Linked DNA regions of Drosophila melanogaster. The protein of the gene in region 1 interacts with the protein of each later gene in a pairwise test. Each region holds a gene or a part of one and is shown in the gene's direction. Other genes may lie near its edges. The genes, in order: GstT4, CG13551 and mrn.

Region 1 (3,752 bases):
TCCAGATATATATATATATATATATGTATCTGGCACGTCGAACTGCAACTTTTTTCGTTTTATACACAAGCTCTAAGTTTTGCTTCGTTCGGATAAAAGTTTGCTCTTGGAATCCCCTATCAAACTGTCGTCGTCATGCGAATGCTAGTGCGAGTTAAATTTAATGGCATCCTTGATTACCTTATTTGATTTCCTTTGTCGATTCTCCAATCGAATTTCATAAGGAGCAATTGGCAACCCTGAAGTTGATATATTCGGCTATTCCAATTTAATAAAAATTCATTTTCGCGCTTTAACCCACAACAGTTGCATATTCTTTGAATAGTCACTATTTTTGATTTCGACGTGAAAGTAAAATATTTTCAATCAATACAGGTAGAGAAAACTCATAAGAGCGGGGCTCCACTGCCCAGCGGCCACGTGGCCTCCAAGGACCAGAACGTGAATACATTGAGCAAATCGATCCTTGGCGAGGTACTAAGAAAAGCCTTTAATGTGAAGGCGTGACCCGTTCAGCGCGGTTTGCTCTCCTCCGCGATTCATATGAACCTCTGACGAATTCGATGCCATAATTTTCAGCTGCCAAGGTCGTCTTTCAAAAATAAATATAAAAAATTAAATGTTTCCAACTTTTTAAGTTAGTAAGTTAAATAATTAGCAATAGAAATTAACTATTTTTTATAGGATAATCATAGCGAAATTTCTGAAAATGCACGAAATGAACAGCTGATCAAAAGTGAAGTGTAGTGCACTCTATTGAGCCATTATCGTGGCAAGTATCTTTGTGCCAACTGTTGTGCCACCTTGTACGGACAGCGTACACTTGTGACAGCGAATGCATCTTAGAGATACAGATACATCCGAAGACAAGGCACTTTGGCTGGCACTTCGGCCCAGTTTTATCAGCTCAACAGTTGAACAAAAACAATTCGCTGACCGATATGGAAGGTATAGTTGTGTTTCTTGTTCTTGTTGGTATTTTCTGTTATTGGCCCCGTTTTTGGTAAACAAGATAACACCGCACATCGTAGATTCGTTTAGTGGGGTGCTGTGGGGCTTGGGATCGCTGGGATCCTCAAAACACTTATTAATACTAAGCATTTTCTGATTGGAAATCGTCGCCAGATAACGCACGAATATATCAAAGCTAGTCCAGTACAAAGGCGAAAGAGCCGAATACCGAGTCAAAAAGAAACCAGCAAAACAAAAACAAGAAAAGCCGCAGCAGCAACAAAATACTAAAAGCAAAACAAACAGCGATAAAATCGAACAGCTAGGCACACTTGAAATACCCTATCGAAAATTGGGAAAGCCCTAACACATGGATTTAAGCCAAGTGTTCGTTAAGCCCTGAGTAAATGCATCGAGTTTAATAGCGGCAAGGGAAGCTATATGGACTCTATATGACTTTATGGTTAAAATATAAGCTGCTTGTAACTATCGCATTTATGTAAGTTTTAGTATGAATTTTGGTATACGGCCAAGAAAATGAGTAATAAAACCTGGTACCAATTTTCACCACCATCCGATTGGTAATACCCGAGTTACGATAGGTAAGTTTTGCATATCCCGCTCTCTTTTCGCTGTGGGCCACACCCTCTTTTCAAAGGGGCATGCAGTCGCAATGTCTCGATCTCAGCGAAAGGGTAGCGCCAGTGTCAGCAGAGGCGGAGCAGAGGAGCAGCAGTGGGGGCACCATATACAATGTACATATGCACAAGAAGCCGGTCTTTTTTGTCTCTGTTTTTGTTTTTGTGTTCGCTTTGTTTTTTTCTCTTTTTTTTTTTTTTTTTTGTTAGCATCTTGTTGTGATCGCAACGCTGCTCCGCTGGCTTGTTTTTGCGGCGCATTTAATGAATGCGCCCCGTTCACCCCTCCCCTAATACTTCACACACACCACACACCGTACACCAAACGCCATACACCATACACCATACACCACACACCACCTCACCCCACCCACCAGTTTGCTGCGCAGTCGGCGTCGACGCAGCGGCATTGCGTTTAAAATGTCGCAGCGACGGCGCTGCGGAGCTCAGTCTAGCAGCAAAAGTCCAGCGATACGGTTCCAAAGCGATCTGATCTCAGTTTCGATTTGAATCCCCCGATCTGGAATTTCGAATTTTGGATTGTACTGCAGTGCATTGAAGTGCCTACACAACTTTTTTTTTCGCACCCACTCTAGTCACTTGGAGAGAGCACACTGTATATAGTTGGAATATATATATATTAGTATATATCAACGAGATGTCGCAGCCACTCAAGTTCTACTTCGATTTCCTGAACCAATCGAGCCGGGCGCTCTACATCCTCCTGGAGGCCTCCAAGATCCCCTTCGAGGCCATACCCATATCGATGCTCAAAGGTGAGTAGTACTCGCTGTTAAGAAGGGAGTGGTGGTGGGCAGGGAGTACGTGAGCGGTGGCACACACAGCCACATCTATAAGACCAGCCACATCTATAAGGGCCCAAAGGTCGAACCAACCGACCAACCGACCAACCGACCAACCGACCGACCGACGAACACATTCCTATGCATTTATGCTGCCCTTTGTTTTCGATATTTTTCGAGTCGGCGAGTGAGTTTCCAAATAAATTTTCCGCTCGTTAAAAATTCCACAATCCAAACGAAAAGTTTCCAAGGCGAAAGCGGGCAGACGTCGTTTTTGAAATAGTGTCACTCCATTCGAAAACAATTGAGGAACTGTGGAACATGGCGAGATTAGACGAACATATGTATTGTACATACATATGTACATATGAGTTCAATGCAAACGTGATTGTTCTCAAAAATAATTTCTTAGCAAATGATAGATAAGATTAAAAGGAATCCCGAAACGAACGTGAGGATTCCTTAGAAAGTGTGTGCAAAATAATTATATTTTTTTTTTTTGCAGAAGTGTTCGAGCATTATTGAGCAGTCGCACTTTGAACGTGTTTACAGATAATCTTAGCCTTTGGGGGCATCCAAAAAAAAAAAAGAAAACCGGCTAATTGCCTTCTATTCACGCTTTTATCGCAGGGCAAACAAACTACAAACTCAAATATGGGTTTCAAAAATATACAATATATGTACATACTATATATTATTCTTGATTCAATAGTATAGATTCAGTACTGTACCTTAAATTCGCAGTGCACTTTGCTCGTGTTTACTCCGCACGAGAATTTAGAAACCGATCTTTGCGCTGGTTTTATCACCTGCTCGCCAAACTGGGACACTTATCAAATTTTCGATGAGATCCAGCGTTTTGTTAGCCACTTTGTTATTTCCATTACCATTCGCTTGAGTTTTGTTTTCCTTCATCATTTGTTGGATGTGGTTTTACTATTTGCCAAGCTGCGCGTGCGCTTAGCACTTTTCGATGATTCGCATATGGTATCAATTTAGGAATGGAGCTAAGGTAAGGAGGGTCTTCACACCTCGTCTTGGTCGTTCTCCACTTGGTCAAGGTTGGCGGAAATGCCATAAAGTGCAGAATTGATGCGAGGATGCAATCAGCGGCCACATTAACGGCTGCATATATAATTGCGATATGTGGATAATGTCGTCTCGCGTTGACGTCAACGCTTTGGCATCGCGTAAGTTGATAGCCACATAAATAGGTATATACTGGGATATCAACTACTATGCTAATCCCAAGGAGAGCTCCCCCAACTCCTCGATACAATGTTCGATTCCCAGACAGGCCTGCCTTTTTTGTTTTTGTTTTTTCTTTTCTTTTTCTATATATGTACAATATATTGGTTGG
Region 2 (3,752 bases), on another chromosome or scaffold:
AGACAAAGCATCACAGGGGTCTAATTTTTGGTAGTGAGTTGGAATTTCCCCAGATTCGTAAATAAAATAAAAATAAAAAAGTACTGAGAGCACTCATTAAAACAAAACACTGATTCCTATCATATCCGTTTCCGTTGACGGTCATAAAGAGTGTACTGTTATCAGCTGGTCAACATAAAATTCCTCAAAAATTACCTCAAACTCGACTAAGCTTGCCAGTCGCTCCATTACCGCGAAAAGATGAAGTTCATCGCAGCTGGATTAGCTCTTCTGGTCTGCTCCATCCAGTTGGGTGAAGGAGCACCTGGTCACCTGCTAGACTCCAGTTGTGGCACGACAAAACCAGAATTTATCCCAATGATCACCGGGGGCGCAGACGCAGGCCTATTCTCAAATCCATGGATGGTGAAGGTGCTAGGCGAGAAACTATGTGGTGGCTCGCTAATCACCAGTCGTAAGTATTCAAATGTGGCCCACGAATGAGTTCTTTGTCCAGTCACCTGCTGCTAATACTTTCAGGCTTCGTTCTCACGGCCGCCCATTGCATCGTTAGTACACACATGTAAGTGAGGCAGCACTGTCTTTCGGCGAACACTTACGAATTCCCATTTCCACAGGAGAGTACGCTTGGGCGAGTATAAAACCCGCTTTCCTGGCAAGGATTGCTCGCGCTGCGTGCCCAAGTCATATAAACTCAGGAGAATACGCTTGGGCGAGTATGACACCCGCTTTCCTGGCAAGGATTGCTGCGTGCCCAAGTCATATGAACTCGCTGTGGATAGAAAGATTTTGCATGCGGATTATAACCTAAACTTGGACAACGACATCGGCCTGTTGCGCATGAAGAGCTTCGTCCAGTACTCAGGTAATGAGGTGGATCCAGCAGCCAGGGCTCCCTAAGCAGTGGACATATCTTTCAGACTACGTCCGGCCGATCTGTCTCCTGGTCGAGGGACACATGGCGGAAAGTCCCATCTTCAACATCACCGGCTGGGGTGTCACCAACGATGGCACGCCCAGCCGGAGGCTCCAGAGGGCCACTGTGTACAACACCGACCTCCACTTCTGCCGAAGCAAGTTCACCAAGCAGGTGGATGAGTCGCAGATTTGTGCTGCTGGCACAAATAGCGATGCATGCCACGGCGACTCGGGAGGCCCGCTGAGCGCACAGGTTCCTTTTGCCGGCAGCTGGCTGACCTTCCAGTACGGACTGGTCAGCTACGGGTCGGCGGCATGCCATTCCTTCTCCGTTTACACCAACGTTACGCACCACAGGGACTGGATTGTGAACGCCATCGAAGACTTCAGCAGAGCTTTCCAGCTTAGACTCTAGCTACTCATAATAACATTTCGTTGGCTTTTCTAAGAAAATATTATCAATCCAAAATATTATCTCGAGTGGTTTAATGGCTCCCCTGACTTCTGTCGTAGACGCCATTCGGGTCAATAATATCTGCATTAGTATTTATGTACATAAGCGAAGCTTATCTTCAGCAAATTTTAACGCTATACGCAGCGAAGCCTCGCTTTGACTGATTCCCCAGAATTCTGGGGAAAAACCGAACCCTTGGAGAAGGTTCACTTCTACACCCTCACTGGCTGGGGTCACACCGCAGACTATAAGCCCAGCCGCATTCTCCAGGAGACCACTTTGCTTGCGCTCGAACAATCGTGTTGCAACAGCAACTTCAACATCGAAGTCGACCAGTCCCAAATCTGCACCACTGGCGTGGACAGCGATGCCTGCGGTGGGGATTCCGGGGGCCCGCTGAGCGCGAAGCTGCTCTTCGGGTTAAAGAAGCGGGCTTTCCTGCTCGGACTCGTCAGCTACGGGGATGCATCCTGTAGGATCTTCGAAGTGGCCACGAATGTGACGCACTACGTCGACTGGATTAAGGCAACAATCGACGAGAACTCAAGTTAAAGCGTTAAAGCGTCAAGTTAGAGTCCAAGTCGATTGAGAATTTAAATTTGTTGCTAGTAAGAAATCTGCAATTGAAATATTAGTTTACCATGATTAAGTAAACAACAGAAGAAGCTTAGTTTTATTTGCAGTATGCAAAGGGTATAAAGCGTTATCGATTAAAATCGCAAGCTCACATATTCGATAGACCACGCCGACTGTGCTCGCTCTGCCGCGAAGGTATTATTTAAGGGTGCGCCTACGGTCACTCTGCAGAAAACTTTTGTCGTCGCAAAAATGTAAGTAATGTTCAAGCGCGCCGCACTTTTCCGGCATTAAATCTAGTATGTGCATTGGGTATTCGTGTATATATTTTATACAAACAACAAACAAAGAACTGGCTAAAAATAGCGGCTCTTTTATTGCGACTTGGTTTTCGAAAAAGTTCAATGCACTCCGTTTTGTTAAGGAGACGGCTTTACAGTTACTCTTCGTAATGGAGTTTTCTCAATAAATTGTATTTTCTGCGCTTCTCTTGCAGCTAAACTACTCAAGAATCAAACAGAATGTTCGTTGTACGTCGTAGCGCATCTCGTCTGTACCCCGCTGGAGTCCAGTGAGTTTCTACCCACATTTAACCCCCGTTCATAACTACCTGCTAATTGGCTTACAAGACTTAACAGAGCACTCATATCTCATTCGCCATATTCAAAGTGTTATGTATGCCCCCAACTTACACTTTCCTCAATGTTCGATAAGATAAACAATTCCGATCCCATCGAAATCGCTTTCACCCTGCGCGCATGTGTGTGTGTGCAGTCTATGCTGACTTCACTCCACTGTTGCGTAACCGCACAAAACCAGAAGATTCTAATGGTTCCCACCGCCATTTTCCGCTCCACAGGCTGGCCAAGATGAGCGGCAGCCAGGTGGGCGACCTAGGCAGTGGCGCCGGCAAGGGAGGCGGCGGCGGTGGCTCTATCCGCGAGGCCGGCGGAGCCTTCGGCAAGCTTGAGGCTGCCCGCGAGGAGGAGTACTTCTACAAGAAGGTGAGTGACCCAGAAAACAACTTATTTCATCATTAGCTTTATTGAGCAGCAGCGGGAAGCGACTCAGTTGCAAGGCCTGCCGCTGAGCAGCTCCTGAACACCGCACTTCTGTATGCGAAAGTTTATCTCCTTGTAGTCCAGACCCGCTCCGAAGGCTTTCTGCAGCCGATTCGACAGCACCCACAGTTCCTCCTTGCCCTCGTGGTTGCGCACTATCTTGAGTCCACTGGCGAACTGCAGTCGCTGCTCATCCTCCACCAGCATGACCAGATTCTGATGGCTGTAGCCGGTGCGAATGTTCCAGGCCAAAAGGCTGGCCGGCTGGACCAGGCCGCAGATCAGAAAGCCGGACTCGCTCATGGCCGCCGCAACGCATTGACTTCCCCGCTTGCCCAGCAACTGGAACTGATCCAAGGCAGCGCTCACATCGTTCAGCCGCCAGTTGCTGCCGTTGTTGACCACATCCAACGGAATGGCCATTTGCCACTCGCTGGACAGAGAGTGGAAATACATCATCCGCCGGCCACCCAAGCCGTGGGGCGTTAGAGTGGTAGACACCGTGCCGTCCCACAGCTGGAAGCTCTCGCCTGCTATCGTGAATGTGCCGAAGTCTGGATGAGGATACGTAAACTTGTTCTCAATCCGCCACGACTGCTGGGCTGCCACGTCATACACCACAATGCCGTCTCCAATGGAGTCCGCCATGTACACGAATCCCACATCGCAGTTGTGCGGATCCAGCTCCACGGTGGGCGTGACAAAGCGACTCACGCCCTCCTTGTACAATCGCTTGGGCATCT
Region 3 (3,752 bases), on another chromosome or scaffold:
TTGTTGGGATCTATGGTATCCACAGCTGGAATTTCCGTGCTTTCTGTGTTACCTTCAACGTGGGCAGGGATATTATTCTGTGAATTTTTATCCTCCTCGTAGTTAAGGGGCTCGTCAATCTCTATCTGTTGCTTTGTCTTTTTTAAAGCCAGACTTTTTAGGTTTTGCAAGACGTCCTTCTTTTTCGCCTTCTTTCCCTTGACAGGAACTTCTTTAAGTTTGTTTATCCGTTCCCTCAATTTCTCCATTTTCTTATTTAGTTTGGCTCTGATATGATCCTCGTGTTTCTCAAAAATGTCATCAATGGCTTTTGAATTCGGGCTTGCCTTGGCTTCTTTCTGATCAGTTGGGCAAATATCTTCCACCTCCCAGCCATTTTCTATCTTAACTTTCGATTTCTTAAGTTTCTTCTTAGCAGGTTTTACTTCTATTAATGGTTTCCGAATAGTTTCTTTCTCCTCCTGCTCGTCATTATCCTGGACTCCTTCCAAATCCCTACGATGCTCCTCCAGTAACTTTTCGTTTTTATTCCTTTTTGTCCAATATTGCCGCCAATTGGAACCCTCACTTTCACCATTTCCATTTTCCGTTTGCTCTGTAGCTTTTCTTTTTGTCCAAGGATTAAAGGGATCGTAGTCATTATCCTCCTCCTCGGGTAAAACTCTCTTCTTGGTGGTTTCATCTTCGCTGTCTGACACCTGCTTTTTCTGGGTCAGTTCCCTGCTAACAGCCAACTGCTCGGCCAGATCCTTTCGCACATCCTTGTCGTACTTGGCCCGTATCTGCAGATTCTTCGCCCAAGTACCGGTGTTCTTGTGCCGCAGGCTGGCACGCTCCTGCACTCGACTCTTTTCCAGGGCATTAAGCTTTTCCAGCGCCGCCTCTGGATCGGTTTTCTGCAGCAACTCGAACTCCTTCATCTGCTCCAACATTTTTTGTCTCTTCTGCAGCTTGTGGAACTTTTTCGATTTGATTTTGTTTTGCATGCGCGCCTTTGCTGACTTTTGAGACTCGCGCATCTTCAGGTAAGCTAGCTCCTTGCGACGGGCAAATAGTTCGTCCCTGGTAAGCTTCTTTTGTAGTAAAAGCCGCTCTTGCTTGGCCAGCTCCTTTTCATCCGTGGTATCCCCAATTTGCGCTTTGCGCAGTTCCCGTAGTTTACGGTTGTTAGCCTCGAGTTCTTGAGCAAGATTGGACTTGACCCGGGTGTTTAGAGGCCTGGCATTTGCCGCAGTATTTACGTAAACCGTTTCAGATGGTAGGGGGAAGATCTGTAATAAGTTTTGGAGATTATATGTGTATGTCACTGTTAGCATTGGCATTCATTCACCTGCGTCTCCGCAGATCTCTGTTGAGCCACCACAGCATCCCAACGACCGAGTTTCTTGGTAACTCCCTCGTAGCCAATGGTCCGTTTAATTCGATCCGCAGCTGGTTTCTCCAGCGGCTTCTGTAGCACCTTTTTGCTGCCATGGATGTTCTTGAGCTTCTTGCCCGTCTGACTGTGCTTGGTGGAGGTGCGTAGGATGTCTACCAGATCGTTCAGACCCACGGCTCTGGGGGCATGATCCGTTTCCGCTGACGAAACACCTTTTACCAGCTGGAACTCATCCTGGAGCGACTGCCGCTCGTCGCGCGTGGACTTCTGGATGTGCTGCACCTTGCCCAGACTGCCGATGGCCTGCAGCAGCTTCTTGTGTGCCTTTGGTTCGTAGTGCTCCTCGTCGTCACTCATTTTTGTCAGGAAAATATTTAAAATCAAATAACAATACAAAAATACTTCGCGCAGCACGTGTGCAGAATAACAGCTGAAGAGTTATCGATAAGTTTTGCGGCCCATCACAATTTCTACCTGTGCTCGATAGCATGAGTGTGGAAAATGGAGCTGCCTTCTTTTAAAAATTAACTTAAATATAATAACATTTACTACTCAATACATATATCTATGCATCAAAAATCAATTGATTTTTTTTTAACAATAAATGTACTTTTAACTCAGCGAAAACCCCCTTCGTAACGCCCTTGATGATTACTATCGATTGTCCCCCCACGAAAGACCGGCTATCGATGACAACGGGATGAAAATATTTTGTTTACGAATTCGACATTCGAATCGTCATGGCCGACACGAAATCCGGTAGTGGTCGGCATTCGGCTGCCGGGGGAAGTGGAAACGCCGTCCTGTCGCCCTTGGGGCAGGGTCCTGCGAACTTGGAGTGTAAGGACTTTCAGGAGTATCTGCGCACCCGCCAAACGCCAGAGTCGCTGGAGAAGCTGTACAACTATCCGCCCATTTGTTTGGCCGTTTTTCGGGAGCTTCCAGAGATAGCCCGGCAGTTTATCATAAGGATACTGTTCGTGGATCAGCCTGTGCCACAAGCGGTGGTCACATCATGGGGTGCCCAACGTTGTGCCAAGTATGACTGTATCCAATTGGATAAACAATATCATTGCAATGCATTACTTTTGCAGGGAGCAAGCCGAGGCAACCAGCTGCCTGACGGCTTTGAACGTCTGGCGGGTCACAGCCATTCCGGGTGGCCTTTCTGCGTGGGAGCTCTCGCCCACCTTCAAGAAAAGCGTACGCCAGGTGCTGCTGGGCGGCGGAAAACCTTGGCCTATGACCAACACGCTGGATAAGGACTCGAAGCCCAGGGACATTGCTTTTCTGGATACATACGCCATGTCCCGCTGGCGTTGCGTGTTGCACTACATGGTCGGCACCGGAAATCGCAATGGCACCGATGCGGAGGCCATTAGTCCGGACGCCGTTCGGATTCTGCTGCACGCCAATCTCATGAAACGTGATGAACGAGACGGTATCACAATAACCCGGCAGGGCTTTCAGTTCCTGCTGCTGGACACGCGAGCTCAGGTGTGGCATTTTATGCTACAGTACCTGGACACGTGCGAAGAAAGAGGAATCAGCCTGCCGGAATGCTTGTCCATGTTGTTCCAGCTCAGTTTTTCAACGCTGGGCAGGGATTACAGTTCCGAGGGCATGAACAGTCAGATGCTGACATTCCTGCAGCATCTACGGGAGTTTGGACTGGTCTTCCAACGTAAGCGTAAGGAGGGACGCTTCTATCCCACACGTTTGGCTCTGAATGTGACAAGCAAGGAGGCGGCTGCGACTGCATCTGTGGCCATGGATGAGGAGGCCACTCAGGACTGTGGCTACATTGTGGTGGAGACGAACTACCGAGTGTATGCCTACACTGATTCTCCGCTCCAGGTAGCCGTGTTAGGTCTGTTCACGGAGCTTCTCTACCGCTTTCCCAATCTCGTCGTGGGCGTGCTAACCCGCGATTCAGTGCGCCAGGCGTTGCGTGGCGGTATCACGGCAGAGCAGATTGTCTCGTATCTGGAGCAGTATGCGCATCCCAATATGCGCATGGTCGAGTCAGCCATTCACTCTAAATCCTGCCTGCCACCCACAGTCGTTGATCAAATTAAGCTGTGGGAATTAGAGCGAAATCGCTTCACCTACACCGAAGGCGTGCTGTACAATCAGTTCCTCTCGCATACAGATTTCGTAACGCTACGAGACTACGCCCAGTCGATCCACATGCTGGTGTGGCAAAATGAGCGAACTCGCACAATGGTGGTGCAAAAGAATGGCCACGACGATGTCAAGCGTTACTGGAAGAAGTACTCTAAGAGTGGTGTTTAGCCCGGTATTACGACCAATTATTGGGAAGTTATTTTAGAAGTAACATCTGTGCCCATTTTGTTACAAGCTAAAATTTTAA

What was found.
Region 2: the proteins of GstT4 (region 1) and CG13551 interact in a two-hybrid assay, tested with the Drosophila melanogaster proteins (one large-scale study listed by BioGRID).
Region 3: the proteins of GstT4 (region 1) and mrn interact in a two-hybrid assay, tested with the Drosophila melanogaster proteins (one large-scale study listed by BioGRID).

Annotation. Positions count from the first base shown.
Region 1 is NC_004354.4:13,402,720-13,406,471, forward strand, and holds the start of GstT4 (glutathione S transferase T4), read left to right. Parts: upstream 1-2,029; 5' UTR 2,030-2,247; coding exon 2,248-2,365; intron 2,366-3,752.
Region 2 is NT_033778.4:23,381,815-23,385,566, reverse strand, and holds the start of CG13551 (uncharacterized protein), read left to right. Parts: upstream 1-2,142; 5' UTR 2,143-2,247; intron 2,248-2,444; 5' UTR 2,445-2,469; coding exon 2,470-2,519; intron 2,520-2,807; coding exon 2,808-2,952; intron 2,953-2,975; exon of another isoform or gene 2,976-3,015; coding exon of another isoform or gene 3,016-3,752. Other genes in the region: CG30414 (uncharacterized protein), read left to right, coding at 241-454, 520-562, 618-865, 921-1,333; yellow-d2, read right to left, coding at 3,016-3,752.
Region 3 is NT_037436.4:15,578,873-15,582,624, reverse strand, and holds the start of mrn (marionette), read left to right. Parts: upstream 1-2,087; 5' UTR 2,088-2,118; coding exon 2,119-2,417; intron 2,418-2,472; coding exon 2,473-3,673; 3' UTR 3,674-3,752. Other genes in the region: CG12301 (uncharacterized protein), read right to left, coding at 1-1,271, 1,331-1,735.